5 linked regions of the Callithrix jacchus genome follow. The protein of the gene in region 1 interacts with the protein of each later gene in a pairwise test. Links are inferred from orthologs where the notes say so. Each region holds a gene or a part of one and is shown in the gene's direction. Other genes may lie near its edges.

Region 1 (4,437 bases):
ATTTTACACCTTAAAGAGGGAAAAAACCTGCCTAGTGGCAAGATCTTGGGGGTCTAGGAAGAAAGTGAGTTTGGCTGATGAAGAAGCTTCACCCTCTCCCAGCAGTGTGGGTAGTGAAAGCTGAGGCCATCTGTGGATTTTCACTGCTGTTCCCAGTCAGATGCATGCTGCATACACTTATATTAGAAGCTCAAGGCCCCCAATATGAGAAAAGATTTAAATTGTCTCAAAACTGTTAACTGTCCTTTTATGTTTGTTTATTTAGAGATGGAGTTTTGCTCTTATTGCCCAGGCTAGAGTGTAATGGACGATCTGGGCCCACTGCAACTTCTGCCTCCCAGCTTCAAGTGATTCTCCTGCCTCAGTCTCAGGAGGAGCTGGGATTATAGGCGCCCGCCACCATGCCTGGCTAATTTTTTGTCTTTTTGGTAGAGATGAGGTTTCACTGTGTTGGCCAGGCTGGTCTCAAACTCCTGACCTCAAGTGATTCGCCCCACCTCAGTCTCCCAAAGTGCTGGGATTACAGCCTGTCCTTTTATATTTAGAGAGAATTCTGTTCTAGTGATAATGTGATACCTCTTGTGTGGCCTGATTTCTAGGCACTGCAGGCCTTAGCCCTGAGTGATTTGTAGAAGCAGGAGGATCTATGGTCCCCGCTCCTCAACAGCCTGGCAGTAGAGTATGCGAAATGAGAAAGCTTCCAGTAGGCAGACACCGGACTGTTCAGAGTTACTAAGGGCAGCTTCTCAGCATGTCCTTCCTACAGTTCACATCTTTCTGTTTGAATTTGAGTATATTATTTTAGGGACATCTTGAATATGCTTACTTATAAATAAGATATGCAAGTTAGATTTACAACTTTAATGGACTATTTGGTCCATTAAAGGACTTTTTATATTATAATTACCATATTAAATGAATGCCAATTTTCATGTAAATAGGTCTTTATTAGCTGTAAATAACTTTTGCTTTTAAAAATGATAATTAAAGATGATTTTGAGAAGAGAACATGGTTTTCACAGTTTCTCCTTCCTAATTAGTTATAGTTTTCATTTGAAGTAGCCAGGCAGTTTGACTCCAAGCTCATGTAGAAGTGTTCCTCTCCTCTTCTTCTTGATAAGCAACAGCCAGTTGCTTCACAGGTTTTCATGAATTTAGCCACTTTTTCTTCTGGCCAAGGTGAATCAGCAATTGGGAGCGGAAGAGCCTGTAACTTGCTTCAAAATTTTGAATTTTGCAGCTAGCTGCTGCACCTATGGTAAATTACAATATTTCTGGTGGCTTCTGAAAGCTGAACTCTGAGCAGTGACCCCAGAGGCAGGCCTTGAGAGAAATGCTGACCTTAGTTACTGGTGGAGGCCACTCTAAGACAGTCTGAACCTTTTGCCTTTGGGCTATTAGCAGAAGTAACCCTGCCTCCAGATCCTGGGCCTTCCAGTTTTCCTCCCCACTTTCCCTTACTCCCACTGTGGTAAAGCTGCGACCTTATCACATGGCTGCAGGAAGGGGCCAGTCTCTCGTTGGCAGTTCATCTTGTATACCAAACCCAAAGGCCTGGGCCTTTCCCCGGGTGCCTTTCTGATGAGTCAGTAAGAAGTCCAGTGGGCTTTGGCTTGTGAGGCCTGTTTGCAAATGGCTTCCTCTATAAAAAGAGTGACCCACAGTTACTGCCTTGGTGAGTTGCTTTCTGGGAAATAGAGTAGGGTAAAGACATTTGAAGGTCCATCTCTGGGGGACCTGACCAAATGTTGATATTGGGCACTGTGAGGCTGGAGGATGGGGAGGGAGGCCCCTTCCTCTGGCAAGGAGTGTTATGTTCCTCACAGTTCGAAGGCTGGATTTCCCGTTTCTTTGTGGGGAAGCAGATGTTGACCATTGCCTTCCTTCCTTAGGTGGTTTTTTGGCAAAATCCCCAGAGCCAAGGCAGAAGAAATGCTTAGCAAACAGCGGCACGATGGGGCCTTTCTTATCCGAGAGAGTGAGAGCGCTCCTGGGGACTTCTCCCTGTCTGTCAAGTAAGTATTTCCTGCTGTAGTTGCCTGGAATCCTGTCTCTGACTGATGCAAATTGTGACGCCTTCGGACAGGTGGCTGGCTACACAAAATGGTGTAGGCTTAGCCTAAACAGTATCTTCATTTCACATTAAAATCCTCATTTCTGGCTCCTCTCAAATTAGTTCTAGCAGCACTGGATGTATATTCCCCTGTGGACACAGCCTTCAGGAGGTCAGCAGCAGCTCTCTGCAGCCAGCCCAAGCCTGCCAGTTTTCCCTAGTGCGCAGCACTCCCGAGCTGCTGCCCTTCAAGGGATTCCCGCAACTCTTTCTAATGGGATAGCGGAGCGCCTGTTGGCTGCCTTGGCTTGCCTCGCTCAAGTCCACTAGCTTCAATCCACCAGCCCCATCCTAGGCCCTCACAGTCACTTAAGAAGGCTGCCACAGGGGATTTGGGGCTTGGGTTTCCCCTTTGGAAAGTTCAGATGGGTGAAGAAGGAAGTTCTGCCACCTTGGAACAATTTTGGAGAATAGAAATTAGCACTTGAAGGAAACAGTTCACACCTCATCTGTGAAGTAAGAATTTGGAATTAATTTGTTATTTCTGTGTCTTTTACTTTTTTTTTGAGATGGAGTCTCGCTCTGTCATCAGGCTGGATGGAGTACAGTGGCACAATCCCAGCTCACTGCAACCTCCACCTCCCAGGTTCAAGCGATTCTCCTGCCTCAGCCTTCTGTGTAGCTGGGATTACAGACACCCACCACCACACCTGGCTAATTCTGTATTTTTAGTAGACACCCTGTTGGTCAGGCTGGTATCAAACACCTGACCTCGTTATTCACCCACCTCGGCTTCCCAAAGTGCTGGGATTACAGGTGTGAGCCACTGTACCCCCGGATGTGTTCTTTTTCTAAAGGAAGGCATGAGAGATTCCACATGATATTAGTAATACCTTGTAAATATATTTAAGTGGAGTTAGTCTTTATTCCCAACATATGAAAAAGCCAAAATTGATATACTAAAGGGGTCTGATGAAGAGCATCTTGGGGTGGGTTTATGTAACTGAGACTGTATAAGATGAGGGGAACAAGCAGTAAATCGCTGGGTGGCAGCCAGAACCAGGAGGCAGCCACATGCTCGACTGGAGGCTGTTTGCTCAGCAGAAGCTCCCAAGCTTCCATTTGCTCAAGTAGAATCTTACTCTTTTTAATCTTTTTTTTTCTTTTTTCTTTTAATATATATAGAGATGGGGTGTCACCATGTTGGCCAGGCTGGTCTCAAACTTCTGACCTCAGGTGATCCACCCATCTCGGCCTCCCAAAATGCTGGGATTCCAGGCGTGAGCCACCGTGCCCAGCCATCTCAAGCAGAATCTTTTAAGGATTTAGTGTATTTATTGTTTTAGAAACAAAGCAGGTGTCATGACTGTCTTCAGCAACACACACCTTTGTAAAAGAGGTTCAAGAATCAACAGTCTTCAGATGTTTCTTAGTTTTAGGATGTTTTGAGCCTGTGATTTGAAACATAGTAGTTAACATACTGCTCATTATTGGGGCCCTGGGCTCTTTTAGAAACCATCTGCATTGCATGGGTGGAAGTGGGCCTCTGTGGGCCAACAGTACCATGTAAATATACCCTTACTAATGAAGCTTTCTCACCTTCCTCATTTTGTCTTGCATGAAAAAGCAGTCTTTTTTTTTTTTTTTTTTTTTTGAGGGGCATCTTGTACTCAGTGGCTGCCTTGAAGCTCAGTGCTGCCACCTGCCGGATTGATTTTCTGAAGCCTTTAGTTGTAAGACTGAAATTAAGGAGGGACTCATTCATTCATTGAACAAGCACTCCGAGAGTACCTTTTTAGTGCTGGGCAAGGTGAACAGGTTAGGCAGAAGCGCCCTCGCTGGGCTGGTGTTTTAGCCAAATATCCTATGACAGACCCTGTTAGCTACTACCAGACAGTCACGCTCTTGCCAGTTTTGCCAGCCAGTATAAAAGGGTGAAATCTGGTGATGGAAACACTTTTGGGTCTCAAAGCCTGGACCTCTTTTATTGTCCCAGTATGTCCTTTTGCTCAGAGACCTTTTCCCTATGAGTGGAGCTAAAATTCCTGAGCAGAAAACATGACTTTGAAGTATTCCCAGTTACGAGAGAATTGTTGAAAGTATTTCCAGCCCTCCTCACCTTCTTCCAGCCTGCTTTTCTAGTCTTTGAATATCACATGTAAGATACTAATTTTTGATTCAAAGGAAGTTAGGTCACACTCCTTTGTCTTAAGTAAGAACATGGTTTATGTGGTAGGGTGCAGGGCACATGGACTAACCCTACAGACATCTTCAGAAGTAGAGTGAATGGTGGCCTGTCCCTGTCTGGTGAGAGTTTTTCATGTTGTGCTGGTGCCCATCAGTCATAGGAGGTGTCTGTCCCAAGGACACGCAGTGAGGAGATT
Region 2 (4,921 bases), about 9.2 Mb from region 1:
GTAGGGGCTGGGAGAAGAGGTGGCAGGCCATCCCAGCTCAGGCAACAGGGGGTGTATTTGACAAGGCTGGGCTTGGATGCGCACACTGGACGCAGCCACACAAACTGAACACTTACTTGGATCAATGTCTATGCAAGGCCAAGAAAAGCTGCCTATCAAAGAAACGTGTTTGGGAGGCACAGTCCTTGTCCTCAGCTTATTTCCTGTTTACTTATATTAGGTTGGTGCAAAAGTCATTGTGACTTTTGCCATTACTTTTGCATTAACCTAATAGTAACCTCAGACTACACAGACAGGTGCCATGCAAACTGAACAACCACTGAGTCAGTGCATACCAGTGGCTAAATAAGTGCAAAGGCGGAATTGGAAAAGAAGCACCCGGGGTGCTCCCTGGAAAAAGTTGGAGCCTTCTTTAGATGGGCCAAGCATTCCATTTTTCCAGCAGGAGGGGCACCGCCTCCCCCTAGCCTAGTCCGTGCCTCTGGTGGCTACCAAAGCTGGGTGGTCTAAGAACCTGGCTCCAGGCTCCAGTTTCTCCACTCATTCTGAGCTGAGAAGCAGGTGACTCAGGGGAGGCTGCTCCCCAGCACGCAGCGTTCTTGGCTGGGAATGACTCATTACCTCGTTCCCTCCCTCGCGAGTGACCCGGGGCCAGTCCCTCAATGTGTCTACACCTCACTCTTCTCATCACACCGGGACAACTGCCTGGTGGAGTTTTTGGCTCCCCGGGGGCAGGGCTCCTGCCTGCCACTGTCCAGGTTCCTCCTGAGGCTGCTGATAGGGTCTGGAGGAGCCTAAAACCCTCAGGTAGACCCAAGGCCCAGGCCCTCCCCGTGCACCGAAAGAAGGTTTTAAAGCCGGTGCCTGTGCGTTCTTTTAAATGCAGAGCCGTTCAACAGCATTTTGCACCGAATACAATTAGCAAGCATTCCTGTTTTGGAGGGTTTTCTTTTGGACACCTCCTTGTTGTAAAAACTTGCTTGGGGAAAAAAAAAAAAAAAAAAGCAACTGGAGCAGGCCTCCAAAGACAGCAAATCAGGGACCTGAGGTTCTGGGAAGAACGCGGGCGGAGGGTGACAACGGATCTCAGTCGCAAGGGGGACCTGGGCGGCTGGACGCCGGGGCTCCAGGGTACAGGCGGCGACCGGGTCAGGGCCCAGGGCCAGTGCTCTCCTGCTCGCCCTGCGCAGCCGAAAGCTGGTGCGGTGTCGCAGGGAGAGGATGCCCTGCAGCAGGGGGAAGGCAGGCTAGGGGTGCTCGCCCGAGTCAGAGACCCCAGCCCGCGCCGAGGAGTCTCGCACTTTCCAACGCTGCAGGTCGAAGCCCGGAGACGCCGGGCGTCCCCACCTCCTGCCTCTCGAGCTGGAGCGGCGTCCGGGGTTCTCCCCCGGCCCCGTCGCCTTAGTTTGCCGCCGGACTGGGACCCGCCAGGTGGATCCGGACAGGCGCAACCTGCTCTCCGCCCGGGACCCTCCCCCGAGCCCAGGCGGCCTCCGCGCCCCGCCCCGCCCCGCCCCGGGCCCGCGCCCCCGATTACCTGCCCCGGAGTCACAGTCCACAGCCCGGATGCTCCGAGGCGGGATCCGCGGAGCCCGGAGCCACATTCCTAGGGGAGGGGTCTCCACCTAGAGGGTCGCGGATCACGTTACCCGCCGGGAGGAGGAGACCGCGGGAGGCTGAGTAAACCAGGGGTAAAAAGTTGCATTTGGCTCATTCTTTCTTTCTTTTTTTTAATCGTGCTTCGACGCTGGTGGACTCGGGGACACGCCGTCCTCCCAGTTCCCGGAGCCCGACGGCCCCGGGGCGCTTTCCCAGGGCCAGAGGCACCTCTCCGGCCGGCGGGTGCGGAGCTGGTCTACGGGGCCCTGAAGGCGACCCCTGTTGCCCGCGGGCTTCCTGGAAGCGGGGCCGCAGGAGCAGAAACGCTCACATCCACGCGCACAAATAAATCCGTGAGCTGCTCCGCGCCGCCAGCGGCAGGGAAACCGCGGGCTGATTCAATGCAGACGCGGGGCGTCTGCCCGGGCAGGAGCGCGGTGGGTCAAGAAGACCGGGCGTGGGGGCAGGGAGGCTGGGGCAGGAAAAAGAGAGAAAACCCCAAAGCCACGTTTCAAAACTGCGGGTGAATTTTCAATGCCGGCCGCCCGGGGGAGGGGTGGGGGCCGGGCTGCGGGCGCCGGGGCCGGCTCGCCACCCGGGGCAACTTTCCGGGAGGGAGGCGCGGCCGGAGGGGGCGGCGCCGGCGGCGGGAGGCGGGAGTCGGGGGCCGGGGGGAGTCACTTTAAAGGCTCTTTCTTACCCATAATGCTTTGTGGGGACGTTGACAAGTGGATCCAAGATGGCGTAGAAAGTAATGACAGGTAAGTCCTGACTTCCCCCTTCTCTGCTCCTGGGGCCGCTCCGCGAGCTCCCGGAGCTCTCCGGGGAGCTGACCCGACTACCCTCCGGTGTCCGGGTCCCGGGGCGCGGCGGCCCCGGGGCGGGCTGTGGGCCGGGGCGGCCCGCGGCGGGGCCTGGGAAGCGGGGCTCTTCGAGGCGAGGCCCGGACGCTGGGGCTGTTTACAGCTTCTTCCCTTACTCAGTCCCCGTCCCCTCCGCTGGGGGCCGCGGCGCCCTGGGCCCTGGCCGGGGAGGGTGCCTTGCACGCCGGGCCCGGGAGCCTGCGGGAGGTTTCTCCGGCCCGGGGCACTCTGGGAGGGGGACTCGAGCCTCCCTGCACGTTCCCCTCCTCTGGGTCGCGGCTGGGGGTGGGGAGCGTGCGGGCCTCCCACGCCCTGCTCGATGCCCCCCTCAGGGCTCGGACTTCTACCGGGTGGGGCGGAGGCCAGAGCTGGGGTCCTCGGGAAAAGTGGGTCAGGGGTGCGCTCCCTCCCTCCCCCGCGGAGGGCTTTTGGCCCGAGATTCACTTTCTTCCCCCCTTTCCCCGCCCCCTCCTCGGAAATGCTCTTTGGCCCACAAGCACATCAACAAAAATAAAGATAGGCTCTCTTTTCCTGGAGATTCCTTGAGAGTACTCCAGTACCCTTTTCAAGGGCTCAGAGACTGCAGTCTTACCTAGGGAACTTTGATTCCTCTCCCCCAAATTATTGGAGCCTTCTGCACCCTAGCCTTTGCTGAGAATCTTTCAGACAGGGCAGGAAGTCAGGCTCCTGTGATTCTTCTCGGATCAGGATCCTCAGGTTTTGTTTGCAGTTCAAAAATTGTCATTCCTTTTCCCTCACAACTTACACTTTTAAGGCAAATCATTAATATAATACAGTGTAACTTCAGAGACAGTGGATTCCTGGAGTGGGGGAAGGAGGGAGGAGTTGTCTGTCTTGCCTAGTTTGTTCTTAATTTTGCTCTTTCTTAAACGCATATTAATAAAATTTCCTCTCCATTGCTTTCTGGTTTTGAAAGTAAGGTCAGTCCGGGTTGAAAAAGATAACTATTATGTTTTTTAGTTTTAAGTGCATGGAATAATCTATTCTTTTATCTTACTGAAAGGAAATGTTATAAGGTCAAAGAAACACTCACTTGCAAAGCTACACACTGTACCATTTTTTAACTTTTTCCATTTCAAATTTAGATGCCCTTTCACTTAAGGCTGATAAAATGTTTGCTGCTGATAATGTCTGTTACTGGTGTTGTATAGACACATCTTTTCTATTTGCCTCAGGAATTGGATGAAGTAATTGATCACTAATGAACTACAGTGCTGGTGAGATGTGTAAGGTGAGACTGCAGTTAAAAGTTATTTCCTTTTTTTCCTTCTTTATTTTAATCAATCCGCAAGAGTAAGGCTGAAACTGAGTAATTTGGTGGGGCCATCTTTGTTTTCCAAATATATCACTCAGTCAAATGGGTCTGTGAGCAGGGCTAGATTTAGAAAGGAAAAATATGTTGAATGTACCAATCTTTTCAGTTGCTCTAACATACTCAAACATAGTGGTACTTACTGAGAGCCAAACGTTACTTGCAGCTATTCTTGATCAGTATCTTCACCAGGGGTAATTATAGTTTTCCTAATACAATTTTCTTGCATAACTTTAATTGGATGTCTTAATTTTATTTGTGTTTTGGTGTCTGTCACCTTCTGTACATTTAGTGCTGGTGATTGTGTATATGGATTTTGTATATTCATGATTTGTGGGACTCTTGTAAAGTACACCCTTTCCATTGGAAACAATTAGGCAGGTCAATCACTCCTGGTTTTATTTTCTGAAAAATTGAGTAGTATTTTGTCTCTTTAATAGTTATTTTGAAATAAAGATGATGGTGTTGAGATCTGTTTAGCTTATTAGGGATAAGACTAGTTTATCATTATGTTCTGATCACACATGGTATGTGAATTCAAAGTGCTTCATTTAATCTAATTGGTAATGCTTTGGATTTAAAGGATATTATTGATACGGTGTTAGTGAACAGTTTTCTCTGCTAGAGAGAGGAAGAGAAGTTTGCTACTTTTACATTTTTCACAAGCAGTTTTCTCAACCTAAAATATTTTACTAAGTTTTTTTCTTTTTTTTTTAGAAAAATGTAATTGTGGTCAGTTGATTAGTTACTGTAGTTCCCCCCCCCCACCACATCTGGGCTTCTGGATTTTGAAATCCTCTCACAAATTTTTCAGGTTTGTCACAACATCTGTTTAAGAAGAATAAACTGTGCTTTTTTTCTCTAGATTGAGGCATATCATTGACATTTTGCCTTAAAAAAATAAGGAAAGGAAGATGGATATAGATTGTTTTGTAAGTGCACATACCACATTTTCTTGTATTTGAAACTCAGCAGTGCTTATGTTTACTTCATATAATTTTTATTTTTGGCAGAGCAAATATAGATTTTTAAACTTATTTTCATTTTGCAGATGCAGGCATATTCCTGCCTTAGACCTCTCAATTTGAACTTTTTACCTTTTTTTTTTTTTTTTTTAAAACCTACA
Region 3 (5,158 bases), on another chromosome or scaffold:
AAAAGAAAAAGCTTTTTTTTTTTTCCTTTGGAACAGAGTCTCGCTCTTGTTGCCCAGGCTGGAGTGCAATGGTGCAATCTCGTCTCACTGCAACCTCTGCCTCCCGGGTTCAAGCGATTCTCCTGCCTCAGCCTCCCAAGTAGCTGTGATTACAGGTGTGTACCACCATACCGCCTAATTTTGGTATTTTTAGTAGAAACGGGTTTTCACCATGTTGGCCAGGCTGGTCTCGAACTCCCCCTCCTCAGGCGATCCACCCGCCTCAGCCTTCCAAGGGGTGGGATTGCAGGCGTGAGCCATCGCGAACTTTTTTTTTTTTTTTTTTTTGAGAGGGAGTCTTGCTCTGTCGCTCAGGCTGGAGTGTGTGGCAGTGACAGGATCTCAACTCACTGCAACCTCTGCCATCTGGGTTCAAGCGATTCTCCTGCCTCAGCCTCTGAGTAGCTGGTATTACAGGTGCGTGCCACCACACCAGGCTAATTTTTGTATTTTAGTAGAGGTGGCTTTTCATCATCTTGCCCAGGCTGGTCTTCAAATCCCAACCTCGTGATCCACCTGTCTTGGACTCCTAAAGTTCCTGGGATTACAGGTGTGAGCCACTGAGCCCAGCTTGAGAAAAAGCTTTAAACCATATCAATAGATAATAGTTTGTGAGTTTCTTTGGGGGTCACTTACACCCATACCACCTTCTCCAGTAACAATTTACACAAGGTCAAAACACAGGGTAATGTGTAGAAACCCGAAAGCATGTCTCCGACCTCAGCTGCAAAACTGCTGGGTCCCACACACTGGACTTTCCCCCCGTTACATTTTTGCTTTTTTCCATCCTTACCTTTACCACATTTTTGCTTTTTCCCATAATTACATTAGATAAGGCACTGGCTTGACGTGGTCTTTTATTAATTTGATCTATTGGGAGCAGACGGAAAAAAAAAAGAAAAAAGAAACCTAAAAATGTCTTCAGGTCCCAGGCGTGTTCAGAAAAGAAAGACTTCTGTGGTGAGAGTGCTACCTGGTAGGGGCGTATGGACGGACACACGTGGAGGGCAAGAAATGTTGGGTCTGGTGCCGAAACATCTTCCTTCCCACTGCTGTGATTTTTGTTTTCTGGTCAAAGTAATATATGCTCGTTGTGGAAAAAAAAAAAAAAAGGAAAATTCAGAGGAAATTGAAAACAACTCGTAATCAACGTGCTTTTTGGATGTGAACTACTCCCTTTGGGAAGCCAATGGAGAAGTGAGGATGCACTGGGTATTCGGCAGTGGGTACACCCTGGCTTATGGATTCGACCGGGGTTTGGGGGACCCGCCACTCAAAGGCCAGGAAGCAGGGCCGCCCCACGGGCGCTCCCCTTTGGCCATCTAAGTGGCGACTTGGCGTCTTCCTCGGCGCAGCTCCCGGGCTCAGTCGCCCAGGTTCCCACCGGTCCCCTACAAGAGACCAAAGCCAGGAACCTTCCCTCGTAACTATCGACCGACAGAAAATAGATTGAGTCCGCCCCCACCCCTCCCCCCTTAAAATCCTCTCCCCTCTTAAAAATCCTCCCCTTTAAAGGGAGCCACAGGGTGTCGCCGGGGGAGTTTGCGGAAGCGCTAACCGCGTTGGGGACTAGGGCGGATCCCGTGATTGGAACCGGCCCCGCCCCCGGCGCCACTTCCCCCATTGTGTGAGCGGCTCGGGCCTAGGCCCCGCCTCCCTTCGGAGGCCCGGCCCCTCCCCTTTTTCACCCCCCTCCTTTGGCTCATTTCCGGCCGCCGCCGCTACCGCTAGCCTGTAAGGAGGATTCGGCAGAGGGAAGAAACAACAGCCGCCATCTTGTTTGTGTGCTAGGTTGGGGGGGAGAGAGGCGAGAGGGAGCGGGCGAGAGTGGGCAAGCGGGACGCCGAGCTGAGTGCGAACTGCGGGAGCCAGAGAGTGCGGAGGGGATCCGGGACGGAGAGAGGCGGCTGGGGCCGAGACAGTGGCAGGGGGCCTGGGGCGCACGGGTTGAGGCGACCCCTAGCCCCCTCCCGTCCGCACACACCCCCACCGCGGCCCGGGAGCGGGGCCGGCGTCGACGCCTAGGGGGGACCATTACATAACCCCGCGCCCCGCGGCGCCTTCGCCCGCCGTCGCGGTCGGCCCCGAGCGGAGCCCCGGGGGGGCGGGCTCTCCCAGCACCTGGCCGCCGGCGGAGGGGACCGTAGCGGCGGCCGTATTTATTTATTTTCCGCGCGAGAGGAGGGCGAAGGAGAGAAGCGCGGCGCGAGGAGGGGCCGCCTGCGCCGCCGCCGGAGCGGGGCCTCCTCGGTGGGTTTGGCGTCGGCGCGGGCGGGCGGCGCTGCTCGGCCCGGCCCCCTCGGTCCTCTGGGCCGGCCAGCTCCGCGCCTGGCGTTCTTGCCGCGCCTCCGCCGGCCGCCGTGCGATGTGAGGCGGCGGCGCCAGCCTGGCTCTCGGCTCGGTTGAGCTCTCTGCGGCCATTAGGGGCCGGTGCGGCGGCGGCAGCGGCAGGAGGAGGGTTCGGAGGGTGGGGGCGCAGGCCCGGGAGGGGGCACCGGGAGGAGGTGAGTGTCTCTCGTCGCCTCCTCCTCTCCCCCCTTTTCGCCCCCGCCTCCTTGTGGCGATGAGAAGGAGGAGGACAGCGCCGAGGAGGAAGAGGCTGATGGCGGCGGCGGAGCTCCGAGAGACCTCGGCTGGGCAGGGGCCGGCCGTGGCGGGCCGGGGACTGCGCCTCTAGAGCCGCGAGTTCTCGGGAATTCGCCGCAGCAGACGCGCTCGGTGAATTTGTGCTCCTGTGCCCTCCTCCGGGCTTGGGCCCAGGCCCGGCCCCTAGCACTTGCCCCTACCTTTTCTATCGAGTCCGCATCCCTCTCCAGCCACTGCGACCCGGCGAAGAGAAAAAGGAACTTCCCCCACCCCCTCGGGTGCCGTCGGAGCCCCCCAGCCCACCCCTGGGTGCGGGGCGGGGACCCCGGGCCGAAGAGATTTCCTGAGGATTCTGGTTTTCCTCGCCTGTATCTCCGAAAGAATTAAAAATGGCCGAGAATGTGGTGGAACCGGGGCCGCCTTCAGCCAAGCGGCCTAAACTCTCATCTCCGGCCCTCTCGGCGTCGGCCAGCGATGGCACAGGTTAGTTTCGGCAGCCCCGGCCTTCCACGTTCCTCTTAATCTTTTCTACTCGGTGCTCCTTTATTCCATTTTTTTTTTTTCCTCTCTCCCTGTCCCTTAATTAATTTTAAAGGTATTTGAATGAGCTGATCGAAGACGTCCAGTAGCCCAACCATTTTCTTTGCCTCCTAATACATTGGTTGCAACACTGTGTCATATCGGTGTGTGTTCTGGAATTAGAGCTCGTAAGTGGGTGCTGTATAGAAATGGCCTGTATTGTTGCTCCCGTGCAGTTTAATTTGGGAAATGCCAGTGCATTTATGAGTAAGAGCTTCTATGCAATTTAAGTTTTAATTTTTTTTGTTCTTGGTAAATGAAGAATTTCGAATCCTTTCTCCTCATTGTACTTACTCTATTTTCTCTACTTTCCACCCTTTTCAAAATTTTCTCTCCTTTGCAGAATATTTTCTGTTAAATAGGATGTAAAAACTTGATTTTTGTGTGTGCGAGGTCCAAGATTTCAGATTAGAAGCGAAGTTTAACAATTGTTTTGTCTTACCTACCCTTCTTAGCTTTTTCCCCCTGCTTTTTCTTATTTGCTGTAAGAATCAATATGGAGTGCAGTTCATCTCACATCTTCCAGTTTTGGTGTGAGACCAAAATGTCTGAAACTCTGGATTTTCAGGTTGTGAGAACAGGGTCATGTTCTTTGTAGTTTGCATTCACTTTATCATTTTAGGAGGAAGAAAAAAGATAAACAATTTTGTGGAGTTATGTACCTGAAAATCAACGTTAGAAGTTGAAAGAGTTCCAGTCAGGAACTACGAACATGAACTGATTATACAAAAGTTTAAAATGTGCATTAGCTTTGGTGTTTTTGTGTTTGTCTTTTTACACTTTTAAACACATTTGGAGATCAAGATTTTTATTTAAAAGCTTTCCGGATTCTTCAGTTCATTCAGTTGTGGACCAGCCCCTTTGTCAGAGAAGTTCAGGGAGACTTCTTCCATCATCCCCTTCATTCTCTTCTTACAGTTAGTTTAATGGTGTTATCCTGATGGGCGAGGACCTTTTCTTTGCTGGAATAATGAAGATGAAGAATGGCTGGCCATCTGACAGCCCACAAGATGTTCCCCTTTACTACGGAGCATCTCTTTAACTCCCTGAGAACAGGCTCAACGTCATCCTTCCATCTGCCAGTGAGAGTGCATAATGGAGTTAAATGTACCCTTTGAGTTTGTAGAGAACTTGGAGAACATGTTTCTAAGTAGGCTTCATTTCAGAGTGAATATGGAAAGACGGAACAAATGCTTTGAATTCGTTGCTTTTATAAGAAAGATGTAAAATGAATTTCAGTTAACCTGCAACAATTGGGAAATAGGAATCTTGCAGAGTTCCTCTATTTAAGGCTTGTAACACTGATTATGCATGTACTTTGATCTGTACCTATTCTATGAAGGTACTGTAGTCTCCAAGGATATTTTTTAGCTGTTTTTTTTCTTCAAAATTCACGCACATAGACGCACATCATTGTATTCCTTTGCACCTACGAAAGTGCCATTCAGAAGGATTTTTTAGATCATCTTTACACACTTATTCACCTGTAGATTTTTGTGGTGTTCCTTTAGTGTTTGTGAAATGTGGTACTTTTTGCATTTTAGTTTTGGTGTAATGTCATGGAGTTTACGTTGGAGTTAGCCAGAGACTTGGAAAGTAGGGGAAGCTTTTTAATACACTTTACCTTGATGAGTCCTGATTTGAGCGGCTTCATCTTGGAGCTGTATTGTTTAACTGCTTATGTTCAGGTGTGCTACTGCTTTCTTCATATCTGGTCTGTTTTGCTACTTGCAATATGTTTGAATAATTACAAAAGTTCTAAATGTATCAAGTGGGCTTTTGTAGTTTTAAAAAAATCCCTCAACATTGAGATTGATTAATTCATTGGTAATACTAAAAGTTTGTCTTACTTTTATAAATTTTGTAATGAGGGTTGATTTCCCCCCCTCCCCAAATCAAGATTCTACTCCAGGAATTCTTTGGTGTACAGTTTTTAATTGTAACCAGTCTGGGT
Region 4 (5,210 bases), about 38 Mb from region 1:
TGTTATAAAAAAGGAACACTGGGGCCTAGAGAGGTGGATAATGAGGTCAAGAGATCGAGACCATCCTGGCCAACATGGTGAAACCTTGTCTCTACTAAAAATACAAAAATTAGCTGGGCGTGATGGCATCAGTCTGTAGTCCCAGCTACTTGGGAGGCTGAGGCAGGAGAATGACTTGAACCCTAGGGGCAGAGGTTGCAGTCAGCCGAGATGGTGCCACTGCACTCCAGCCTGGCAACAGAGGGAGACGCCATTTAAAAAAAAAAAAAGAAAGAAAAATGAGGAAGAGGCAGAGGATAGGAACTGCTGTATGGGGTACATTGCAGTGATAGAAATCAGGTCCTCATAATGTAAAGTGAGTGAGGAGGGAATAGGCAGGAGATGAGGTTGAAGAGCTGGGAGGCTCTGGGAAGGAGTTTAGACCTGCTGTCTCCCTGGCTCCATCGCCCCACCTATGGGCATGCAGGATGTAGACAGTTGAAAATCTTTACCTTGTGTCCCTGATCCCATGCCTGCAATGTGCTCAGTGCCTTCTCTTATTAGTAATAAAATTCCACTCATCCTTCAAGGTCCAGCTCCAAACCATTTAGGAAACCTCCTTCCATTCTTTGGCAGGAATTAGTCACTCCCTTCTCTGATATCCGACAGCACTAGTCACATGCTGACTTGTATGTCAACTAGCTTGTTTATGCACCAGTCTACCCACCAATGTAGTGAGTTCCCTGAGGGCAGAGACTCTGTCTTAGTCACCTCTGCAGCCATTTCTTGGTGTTTAGCAGGTACTAGACGTGACATTTACTTGACTAGTAGTGGGTGGTGCCTAGTACTACTCATGGCAGAACAGAAGGAAAACAAAAATAATAACTTACGGCCTATTACATCTTTTCCCATTCATTACCTGATTTCAGCCTTCCAGCAACTCTATGAGACAGACGGGACAGGCACTATTAGACCCATTTTACAGATAGGGTAGCTGAGGCCCAAGGGCACACAGCTTGTAAGTAATGGTGACTAAGTCCCAGTCCTGTCCCCTTACTTCGGATTCTGTGCTAGGAACGGAATTAAACCAAAGAGTATTTTGAAGCTATAATGGAAAGCGCTTTTCAGGGTGGACTAGGGAGAGATCCTTAGTCAGCTGTCAGGGGTTAACAGCAGCTCCATCAAGGAGGGCACAGGATTTCTCTCCGTGGCCCAAGCAGCTGGAGGAGTCCATAGCACCATCCGACAGCCCTGGAAGCTGGAGGAAACCCCAGCCCGAGAAAGAAGAGACGAGGGTCAGGTGGCTAAGATGACGTAAAGGATGACTTGTGAGCAGAGGCAGCCGGTTGCTATGCCAACCGGAGCTTGACTGCTTGGACTGTGCAAGGTTGGCTGATGCGGGTTCTTGGTTAACTCGAGATTAGGGAAAGATATTTAGCAGGGAGGGTGTGTGTGTGCGGCGGATTAAAGACGAAAGGAGTATATTAAAAAATGACTGTTTCGCTCAGTGGTTCTCCACTTAGACAACACGTTAGAATCACCTGCACAATTTCCTAATGCCTAGACTGCACCCCGAAATTAAATTAGAATTTCCGGGAGTGGGAACCAGGCATCATAGTTATTTAAATCTTGCCAGGTAATTCCAATTGCAGCTAACGTTGCAAACTCTGTTTTTATCTGGTAAGCGGAACCCTTGCGACCTTCCCAAGATGGCAGCCACTCACCCGCTTCCGCCTGTAACTGCGCCGGCAGGGGGCGAGCTTCCCAGGAGCGCATGCGTCTCGCGTCTCCTCACTCCCTGCTCCCTCCTCCTTTTCCCCCCCGCCTCCATTTTGTTCGCGGATGCTGGGGACGGTGGGAGCAGATCCATTTCCGGGTTGGCAAAAGGGGCGGCGGCGGCGGCGAGAGGGAGAGCTTGCCGGGGGGCGAGCTGTACAAGACGAAGCCGGAGTGTAGGCGGTGAAGGATTCGCTCCCAGAGCAGCTGCGGCCAGGTTGGAAAGAGGCCAGGGCAGCTGGGTCCGTCACTGAAATGACCTGCGGACCTGCCTGGGAGGGAAAGCCGGGGAAGGGGGGCTTGGGGCGGGGCGTGAGGAGAGTGGGGCATTGGAGGAGGGGCTGGAGGGGGAGAAGGGTCTTGGGGGCGGGGCTTGAGGGGCGGGGGCCTAGGGGCTGGATCGGAAGAACCTGGAAGAGAGAGGATGTGGGAAGTCTAGGGAGGAATGGTCGGTTATTGGTCTGGGGCTAGCGCATACTGGGAAAATGGGGAGGAAGGATTTTGAGAGACAGGTAATAGGGCTCCTGACGGATTGGGTGAGGTAAGGAGGCAACTCAGGGCGAGGAACGAGATAATCGTGCGCAAAAAGGGAGACGGGAACGGAGGACCTGTTGGAAACAGCTAATTAGTAGGATGCTGTGGGTGAGGAGCCCAGTGTGACATTTTGGGGATTGAGTTAGGTGAAAGGTAGAGGTTTGGAAGATGGCTAGGGAAACTGCTTACACTGGAGGGAATCTTGAGAGCGTTGGTTGAAAAGGAATCACGATAGAGTTAAAGGTTGGATTGAGAATGTTGAGATGCACATTGGAACGTCTAGAGTTGAGGGTTCATGTTGAAGTGGTGCGAAATGAGGGAAGATGGAATTTTTTTTTTTTTTTTTTGAGATGGAGTCTCGCTCTTGTTGCCCAGTTTGGTCTTGAACTCCTGGGCTCAAGCGATCTTCCCACCTTGCCTCCCACAGTGCTGGGATTACAGGTGTGAGCCACTGCGCCACGCCACGATGGAAATCTTAAAGTGTTCAGCATGGCAGTATGTATGGTCGAGTTTTTGATCAGGAAGGAAAGTTCTTTTTTTTTTTTTGAGGTGGAATCTCGCTCTGTTATCCAGGATGAGGGCAGTGGCACAATCTCGGCTCACCACAACCTCCGCTTCATAGGTTCAGGCGATTCTCCTGCCTCAGTCTCCAGAGTAGCTGGGATTACAGGCATGCACCACCATGCCCAGCTAATTGTATTTTTAGTAGAGATGGGGTTTCAGCATGTTGGTCAGGCTGGTCTCGAACTCTTGACCTCAGGTGATCTGCCCGCCTCGGCCTTCCAAGTGTTGGGATTACAGGCTTGAGCCACCTCGCATGGCTGGAAAGTTCTTAGATATCTTAGATAATATTGGGGCAAGGAGCTGGTATGTGATGGAATTATGATGATTATTTTTTAAGTGACGTGGTCTCACCCTGCTACCCAAGCTAGAGTGCAGTGACATCATCATGGCTCCTTGAAGCCTCGATCTCCCGGGGTCAAGTGATCCTCCCACCTCAGCCTTGCCGGTGGCTGGGACCACAGGTGGGCCCACTACTCCTGCCTAACATATACATATATAATTTTTTTTTTTTTTTTTTTTGTAGAGAAGAAGTCTTGCTCTGTTCCCCAGGCTGGTCTGTGACTCCTGGTCTCAAGTGATCCTCCCACCTCAGCCCCCCAAAGTGCTGGGATTATAGGTATGAGCCACCGTGCCTGGCCCAGAATTTGTATTCTTTAAAGGACTTCAGTAATCTGTGACTGCTTTGGGCTCTCCCAGGGTCTCCATTCCTTTTTCATCGTGTTATTTTTGCCTTACAGTTTTGGTTTTTGACTGTCTTACTGAATGTTTTTGGCTATTCTGTTCTCCTTTTACAAATCAGAAGAGAACCTCAGGGAATAAGGAAGGTTTTGGCCTACCTATGGATTTACCTTCAAGGCAAATCATTAAACTTTTTTTTTTTTTTTTTCCCTTTTGAAATACAGGTCTCATCTGTCCCTCCCTCTAAAAGCTTGTGTTAACACATGGGGTCTTTAAGTGGTTGCATAGAAGTGATCTCTGAAAAACGAGATTGAGATATTAATATTTAGAAGATAGACAATGGTGTACCTGCCTGTAATCCCAGCTTCTTGGGAGGCTAAGGCAAGAGGATTGCCTGAGCCTAAGAGTTTGCCCATTCTGGGCAACATAGCAAGACCCTGTCTTTTAAAGAAAAAGAAGGCTGGAGACAGTAGCTCACTCCGGTAATCCCAGCACTTTGGGAGGCCAAGGCGGGTGGATCTCCTGGGGTCAGGAGTTTGAGACCAGCCTGACCAACATGGTGAAACCCTGTCTCTACTAAAATACAAAAATTAGCTGGATGTGTTGGCAGGTCCCTGTAAATCTCAGCCTCTTGGGAGGCTGAGGCAGGAAGATCATTTGAACCCAGGAGGCAGAGGTTGCAGTGAGCCGACATCATGCCATGCAGTCCAGCCTGGGCAACAAGAGTGAAACTCTGCCTCAAACAGAAACAAAAACAAAAAAAGGAAACATGTCTTTCTGTTTCTTCCTCTCAGCCTTGCTCCTTTGTGTGTGTGCTCACGGGCCGACCAGGGAATAATTGGTTTTGACTTGATGCATATTCAGTGAGTTTTGTGCTTGTTGCCCAGGCTGGAGTGCAGTGGCGCAATCTTGGCTCATCGCAACTTCTACCTCCCAGGTTCAAGTGATTCTCCTGCCTCAGCCTCCCAAGTAGCTGGGACTACAGGAACGCACCACCATGCCTGGCTGATTTTTTGTATTAGCAGAGATGCGGTTTCACCATGTTGGTCAGGCTGGTCTTGAACTCCTGACCTCAAGTGATCTGCATACCTTGGCCTCCCAAAGTGCTGGGATTACAGGTGTGAGCCACCACACCCAGCCCTTGTGGTGGCTTGACAGACACTGACTTTCTTCATGGATTCTTTGAGAATTCACTGAAAAATAGTATTTTGGACAGTTGAGCCTTATGCTTAGGTCTAGTTGCTGTGTCCTTGTCAGTTGGTAGAGATCAGTGTGTTTGTGGACAATTTTAAATTATTTTTAATCCTTTGAAACCCCGACTTTTAGCTTTTTCTTTGGGTATAATACGCTGAACACTTTGCTCATAAGTGAACTTGTTTAGCTTAGAAGAAGTGTGCCTGAAAGTCTTGGGAATTTTTTCCTTCTAAGAGATAGATCTCACTCTGTTGCCCAGACGGCAGTGCAGTGGTGCGATCATATCGTAGCTCACTGCAATCTTGAACTCCTGGGCCCAAGTGGTCCTCCCGCCTCAGCCTCTTTGAGTAGCTAGGAGTTTTGGCATTTCTAAGGTTGTGGATTTGCTAAAAAGGGGGCATTTCTAATTCTTTTTTTCCTTGAGACAGAGTCTCGCTCTTGAGTGCAGTGGTGCAATTTTAACTCACTGCAACCTCCGCATCCCA
Region 5 (4,906 bases), on another chromosome or scaffold:
AGCTGTGCGGGAGACCAGAGTTTCATTATTACTAAGATCAGTCTCTCTGGGCATTCTGGGATGAGTTTTTAAAGATAATTTGGCAGGTAGGGGCTTGGGAAGTAGGGAGTGCTGATTGGTCAGATTGGAGATGGACTCATGGTGGGGGATCAAAGTGAGTTTTTCTTGCTCTTTTCTGTTCCTAGGTGGGATGGCAGAACTGGTTAAGCCAGATTACCTATCTGGGTGGTATCTGGTAACTGAGTTCAGGGTCTGTAAAATATCTCAACCACTGATCTTAGGTTTTACAACAGTATTGTTATCCCCAGCAGTAATTTGGGGAGGTTCAGACTTTCAGAGCGGGAGAGAGGCTGCATGAACCCTAAACTGTAATTTCTAATCGTATAGCTAATTTGTTAGTCCTGTGAGGCAGACTGGTCCCCAGGTAAGAAGGGAATCTTTCTGGGAAAGGGATATTACCAATTTTGTTTCAGTTAAAACATAAACTGAATTATTTCTCAATGGCTACACCCAGGAGTGAACAAGTACACTTTAAAGGTTAGAAGCAAGATAGAGTAGGTTGTAGGTCTGATTTCTTTCACTGTCACAATTTCCTCAGTTATAATTTTGCAAAGGTGGTTTTATAGTCCCACCCTCCTGCTTTTATTCAAACCGATACACAGCCTTGATATTTTAACAATATGATCCGATTGTTACTATACTGACGAGAACTTTCAAATGCACTCTCCCAGCGGCCGCATCGTCTTAGTGAGTGTTAACTTTTGTTTGGGGCCTGGAGGTGGCAGCTCTCTGAACTGGACAGAGCCTCCTTATGAGCAGGAGTTAGCTCTGGCAATGGAGTAGAGCTTCACGTTTCTCCACGTTTGCTGTGGATCCTACCGTATTTAAGGATGTGGGTGGCTGAGGATAAATCCATCCCCACTGGCGGCAAAACGACTCAATTCCGACCGACTGGTGGGGTGAAGCGGCATCTTTTCGAGGGAAGAGTAGCACGTTGTCCCTACACAGTAGGCAGGAGTCAGATGCATACGGACCTTGGGTCTCCGTGGGGTTCACTCAGATTTTAAATCCATCTTTAAAAATGAATTTGATTTTCAGACATCTGAAAGTTGGACCCGCTGTTTTTGAGAGCAGAGGGGAAAGCGTGGGAAAAGGTGTTCCCTCCGGCTGGGGGAGACTGACGCCAGCAGCCACGAGGAGGTAGAGAGGATTCAAGGGTTGAGGGGAAAGGCCCTGAGCTACTCCCCTTCCAGTTCCCTCTCCTCTGCAAACTCCTGTCCCAGGCGCCCTGGCCTCGGCCCCCTCGCCCCGCAGGGGAGCGGGACGGGGGAAACCACTGACTCCAGCCCCGACAATCACGCCCCGCCGCGCTCCTCTGCCGGCCGAGGCTGCGGGCGCGGAGCCCCATTGCCTGCGGGGCGGGCGGGCGGGCGGGCGGAGGGCAGGGCGCGAGCCGGCGGGGCCTCGCGGCGCGTCCACATGTGGCGGGGCGGCGGGGGGGGGCCGGGGCGCCGAGGGGGAGGGCCCACATCTCGGCGAAGTTCCCGGATGGTCGCAGCCTCCCGGCGCTGAGAGCTTTTCCTGCCCGCCCGGCTCAGCCCTGCGGACCCCGGGAGAAGTTTCCCAGAAAAAATGCCCCGCGCGGCGCGGGGCAGTGGAGTCGTCCGGAGCCGCTGTGCGGTAAGGGACGCGTCGCGTCTGGCGCGACCGGGGTTCCGGGGTCCCGGGGGGGGGACACCGGGTGGGGCTGGGCTCGATGGCGGGGCTCAGAAGCGCCGCTTGGAACGGTGATGCGGGCGGGGCGGCCGGGGACGTCGAGGCCGCGTCCCCTGAGAGCGGTGGGCGCGATTCCGGGCCCGTGGTCCGCGCGTTCTGCTCTGGCCGATGGCCCCGGGAGGAAGGGGCGGTGGACTGCCGGGGTCCCGCGCCTTGGGCTGGGCGCACCGCTGGGCTCCGCGGACCCAGGGCCGCCCGTTGGGGCTCGAGACCCACTATCTCCGTAGTTCCCGAGTAGGGGCTTCGCGGCGATGTCCTGGGGCCGCACCTACACCCCACCTAGGACGGAGGGGGACGTTCGGGCATCCCCTGGGGCCGACTCAAGCTCTGGCACCGCCCGCCTGCCTGGCTGTGGGAACCGTGCCCCTCCCGCGCTCCAGCCCGCCTCCCTCCCGGCGCTCCCGGGCCGCCCGCTTGCTCCAGGTCCGTGTAGACTGGCGCGTTAGGGGTCTGCGTCGGCCTCAGAGGCACGGCCAGTCCCCGTCACGACTTTTCACCACGAGTGGGGATGGTTGAGGGGGGTGCTCCCCCGAACTCTCCAGACAGCTTCACTGCAGTCTCGCGTCCCCTACCTTTTTCCACTACACACACTTTTCTTTTTAAAGAAAGAACTGTTAACGTTGCGAATGTAAGGGAAAGCAGCTGACCCAGTCGCTGTGAGCTTTTGTTAATCGCTAAAAGCTCCAAGTCAGATCACTGGTGGTTGGACTTTGAGGTCTTTGCGATTAACAAAGGGTGTGGCTGTGTGAGGAACTCATCCTGGCGAGGTCTTCTGGTCCTGCTTAAATTGGAATATTCCTTCTTCAGCCACGGGCTCCTGGCCTTACTGAGTTCTCTGGGAAGCCTTTCAAGTTGGCTCAGTGACCAAGTGGACTTGGTCCCTTTCACTGAAAAGCGTGTGTCCGTTCTACCCCCTCTGGACCGCTCCTCACTCCCATTCCCCCATCCCTGGCTGCATGTAGCCTCAGACTCGAGGAGGGTGCAGCCGCAGAGCCCGTGAACATATTCCACGTTGGGTGGGTTTTCTTTTGCCAGCTTCCCAAAGCAATTGCAAAACAATACTGTAGCTTCATTTTGAGTCGTTGGTAGGTTTTTTCGTTATCAAAACTGCTTATTTTTGTAATGGATAAAATAACACCAAGAAATGTTCTACTTTAGTTTGTAAATCACCTTTTTGTAATAACTTCTTGAGATGAGAAACCCCTTGATAGGCTGTCAGCACTCTGCCTCTTAATCCCTTTCCAGTGCACACAACACTGCCTTCTACTGTGACTGTGTGTGTCTACCTGACCCTGTCAGCCCCACAAGGCTGCGTTTCTCCAAGACCTGGAGGTGCTATAGTCTAAACCCCCAGCCACCTGTGAGAGCCTATTACCTGTTGAATAGAAATGTTCAGACTAAACTCTGTAGATGTTATGAAACTAGTTCAGTAATATTATCTTCCTTCCTGGGACCTACCAACCCCTGTCATATCTTTGGCTCCATGAAAACATCACTCTTTTAGGTTGTGTGATGTAGTGCAAAGAGATTTGTAAGCAAGGTAAGATCAAATTCCGGGATATTTAAAGAGAATGAGATTATTTCCAGCTGGGGAAATTCATGCCAGCTGGGGGGATATGTTCATTTTACAAATTGTCTTTAATATATTCACCAACTTTCTGGTGCCCTTAGTCATATCATGCAATTTGAGCCTCATTTACCTCATCCAAGAAATGGGGTTGATAATCTTTGCTCTTCGTCCACTACAGGGTATGAGGATCATGTAGGATAAAGGGGTGTGAAGGAAGCAGCAAAAGCAGCGTGATACAGATACTATCCAAATACCATGCAGTGTGTAGCATAGCACCAAGACACAAAAACTATAATGGGCAGAAGGGTGGGTGGTGAAGAGAGGGTAGTATGCCCTGACCTTGTACATTTACTGTCTCAGGTGCTATGGCCAGACATGAACCCCTTTTAGCAGACAGTATTCATTACTGGGTCTGTGTCATTATCTTTCCTATTTCAAGGTGTTTCTAACTATGGTTGTAATTTTAGGAACATAGGTGGTTTCCACAACACATACTGAGAGAATAAATGAAACAAAAGTGCCTTTTATTTTTTGCTATAACCCCTTCGCTTTCAAGCATCTGACATTTGGCATTTAACTCCCAGGGCTGTGGTCTTCCTGAAGCCTTCCCTCCAATGCAGTCTACTGAATTCTTAATGGTTTCTGCACAGAGGTCTCTCTGCTGCTGTTTCCCAGCAATCCACAATTATACCATGGTTCTTGTAGGCTTGGTAGGCTTATTTATGCCTTGTGGCTAGCAGGGACCCACATAGAATCAGGTCACAGTTGGAATCAAGCCAGATACTCATTGAGCATCTCAGGTCCCTGCTAGAGGTTCTAGCTATACTCTGTGCTAGGTAGGTGGGTAGAAAGGAAGACGTAGCTCAGAAAGAGATGAAGTCTGCACCTGAGTGCTAACTTTCTGGTAGAAATGACACACAGTTTCAAACAGCAGGAATGCAGGCAGAATTTGGTAAATAAGGTGAAAAAGGTACAGACCAAATACAGGGAATTCAGAGGCGTCCAACTGGATGGAGGCAGCCCTTCATTCATTTCTCCACTTAACAAATATTTATTAAGTGTTTACTGTATGCCAGGCATCAAAAGATTAATAAGCACATTCACATCATGTCCCACCATCTCTGCCTCAATTGAGGAACAGTTTAGGTTTCACCTCCCTGTGACAGATGAATACGTCCTCACTCAGCCCTAACTTTTGTTTGCTAGGGCAGACATTTGTCCGTTGTTCCTCACTCTGTAGGTGTTATAGGTATGTAGATCAAGTCAAAATAACTTAAGTCTGTCCCTTGTCTAGTTTTGAGTAATGAAAACTCTAGGTGTACCAAAGCTTCTCTTCCTTTGTATGTTGAATCCGATAAGAATTGAGTTAGTTGAGTGATGCTATTCTGCGTAACACACCTTAACTAGTGTGCTAATCCTTAGCCACAGGTGTGATGAGAAGCTTATAAAAGCTTGATTCTGTAAGTCTGGGGTGAGGCCCGGGAAGTGTTTTGAAGACTTCCTCAGGTGATGCTGATGTGCTACCCAAGGGCAGACTTTGCCAATGGCTAAAGCACGGGC

What was found. The genes of interacting proteins can lie anywhere in the genome.
Region 2: the proteins of GRB2 (region 1) and HELZ interact in a two-hybrid assay, tested with the Homo sapiens proteins (2 studies listed by BioGRID and IntAct). The link is inferred for Callithrix jacchus from reciprocal best matches to the Homo sapiens genes GRB2 and HELZ.
Region 3: the proteins of GRB2 (region 1) and EP300 interact in a two-hybrid assay, tested with the Homo sapiens proteins (2 studies listed by BioGRID and IntAct). The link is inferred for Callithrix jacchus from reciprocal best matches to the Homo sapiens genes GRB2 and EP300.
Region 4: the proteins of GRB2 (region 1) and WIPF2 interact in binary tests that used the Homo sapiens proteins (3 or more experiments, as listed by UniProt). The link is inferred for Callithrix jacchus from reciprocal best matches to the Homo sapiens genes GRB2 and WIPF2.
Region 5: the proteins of GRB2 (region 1) and WIPF1 interact in binary tests that used the Homo sapiens proteins (3 or more experiments, as listed by UniProt). The link is inferred for Callithrix jacchus from reciprocal best matches to the Homo sapiens genes GRB2 and WIPF1.

What each region holds. Positions count from the first base shown.
Region 1 is NC_133506.1:131,226,010-131,230,446, reverse strand, and holds part of GRB2 (growth factor receptor-bound protein 2), read left to right. Parts: intron 1-1,892; coding exon 1,893-2,015; intron 2,016-4,437. UniProt on the Homo sapiens protein: Non-enzymatic adapter protein that plays a pivotal role in precisely regulated signaling cascades from cell surface receptors to cellular responses, including signaling transduction and gene expression.
Region 2 is NC_133506.1:122,057,300-122,062,220, forward strand, and holds the start of HELZ (putative helicase with zinc finger domain), read left to right. Parts: upstream 1-1,552; 5' UTR 1,553-1,691; exon of another isoform or gene 1,692-2,071; intron 2,072-2,299; exon of another isoform or gene 2,300-2,692; intron 2,693-3,658; 5' UTR 3,659-3,714; intron 3,715-4,921. UniProt on the Homo sapiens protein: May act as a helicase that plays a role in RNA metabolism in multiple tissues and organs within the developing embryo.
Region 3 is NC_133502.1:191,897,865-191,903,022, forward strand, and holds the start of EP300 (histone acetyltransferase p300), read left to right. Parts: upstream 1-1,789; 5' UTR 1,790-3,014; coding exon 3,015-3,108; intron 3,109-5,158. UniProt on the Homo sapiens protein: Functions as a histone acetyltransferase and regulates transcription via chromatin remodeling. Acetylates all four core histones in nucleosomes. Histone acetylation gives an epigenetic tag for transcriptional activation.
Region 4 is NC_133506.1:93,036,163-93,041,372, reverse strand, and holds the start of WIPF2 (WAS/WASL-interacting protein family member 2), read left to right. Parts: upstream 1-1,841; 5' UTR 1,842-1,972; exon of another isoform or gene 1,973-1,997; intron 1,998-2,145; exon of another isoform or gene 2,146-2,296; intron 2,297-3,376; 5' UTR 3,377-3,469; intron 3,470-5,210. UniProt on the Homo sapiens protein: Plays an active role in the formation of cell surface protrusions downstream of activated PDGFB receptors. Plays an important role in actin-microspike formation through cooperation with WASL.
Region 5 is NC_133507.1:54,781,918-54,786,823, forward strand, and holds the start of WIPF1 (WAS/WASL-interacting protein family member 1), read left to right. Parts: upstream 1-1,537; 5' UTR 1,538-1,680; intron 1,681-4,906. UniProt on the Homo sapiens protein: Plays a role in the reorganization of the actin cytoskeleton. Contributes with NCK1 and GRB2 in the recruitment and activation of WASL.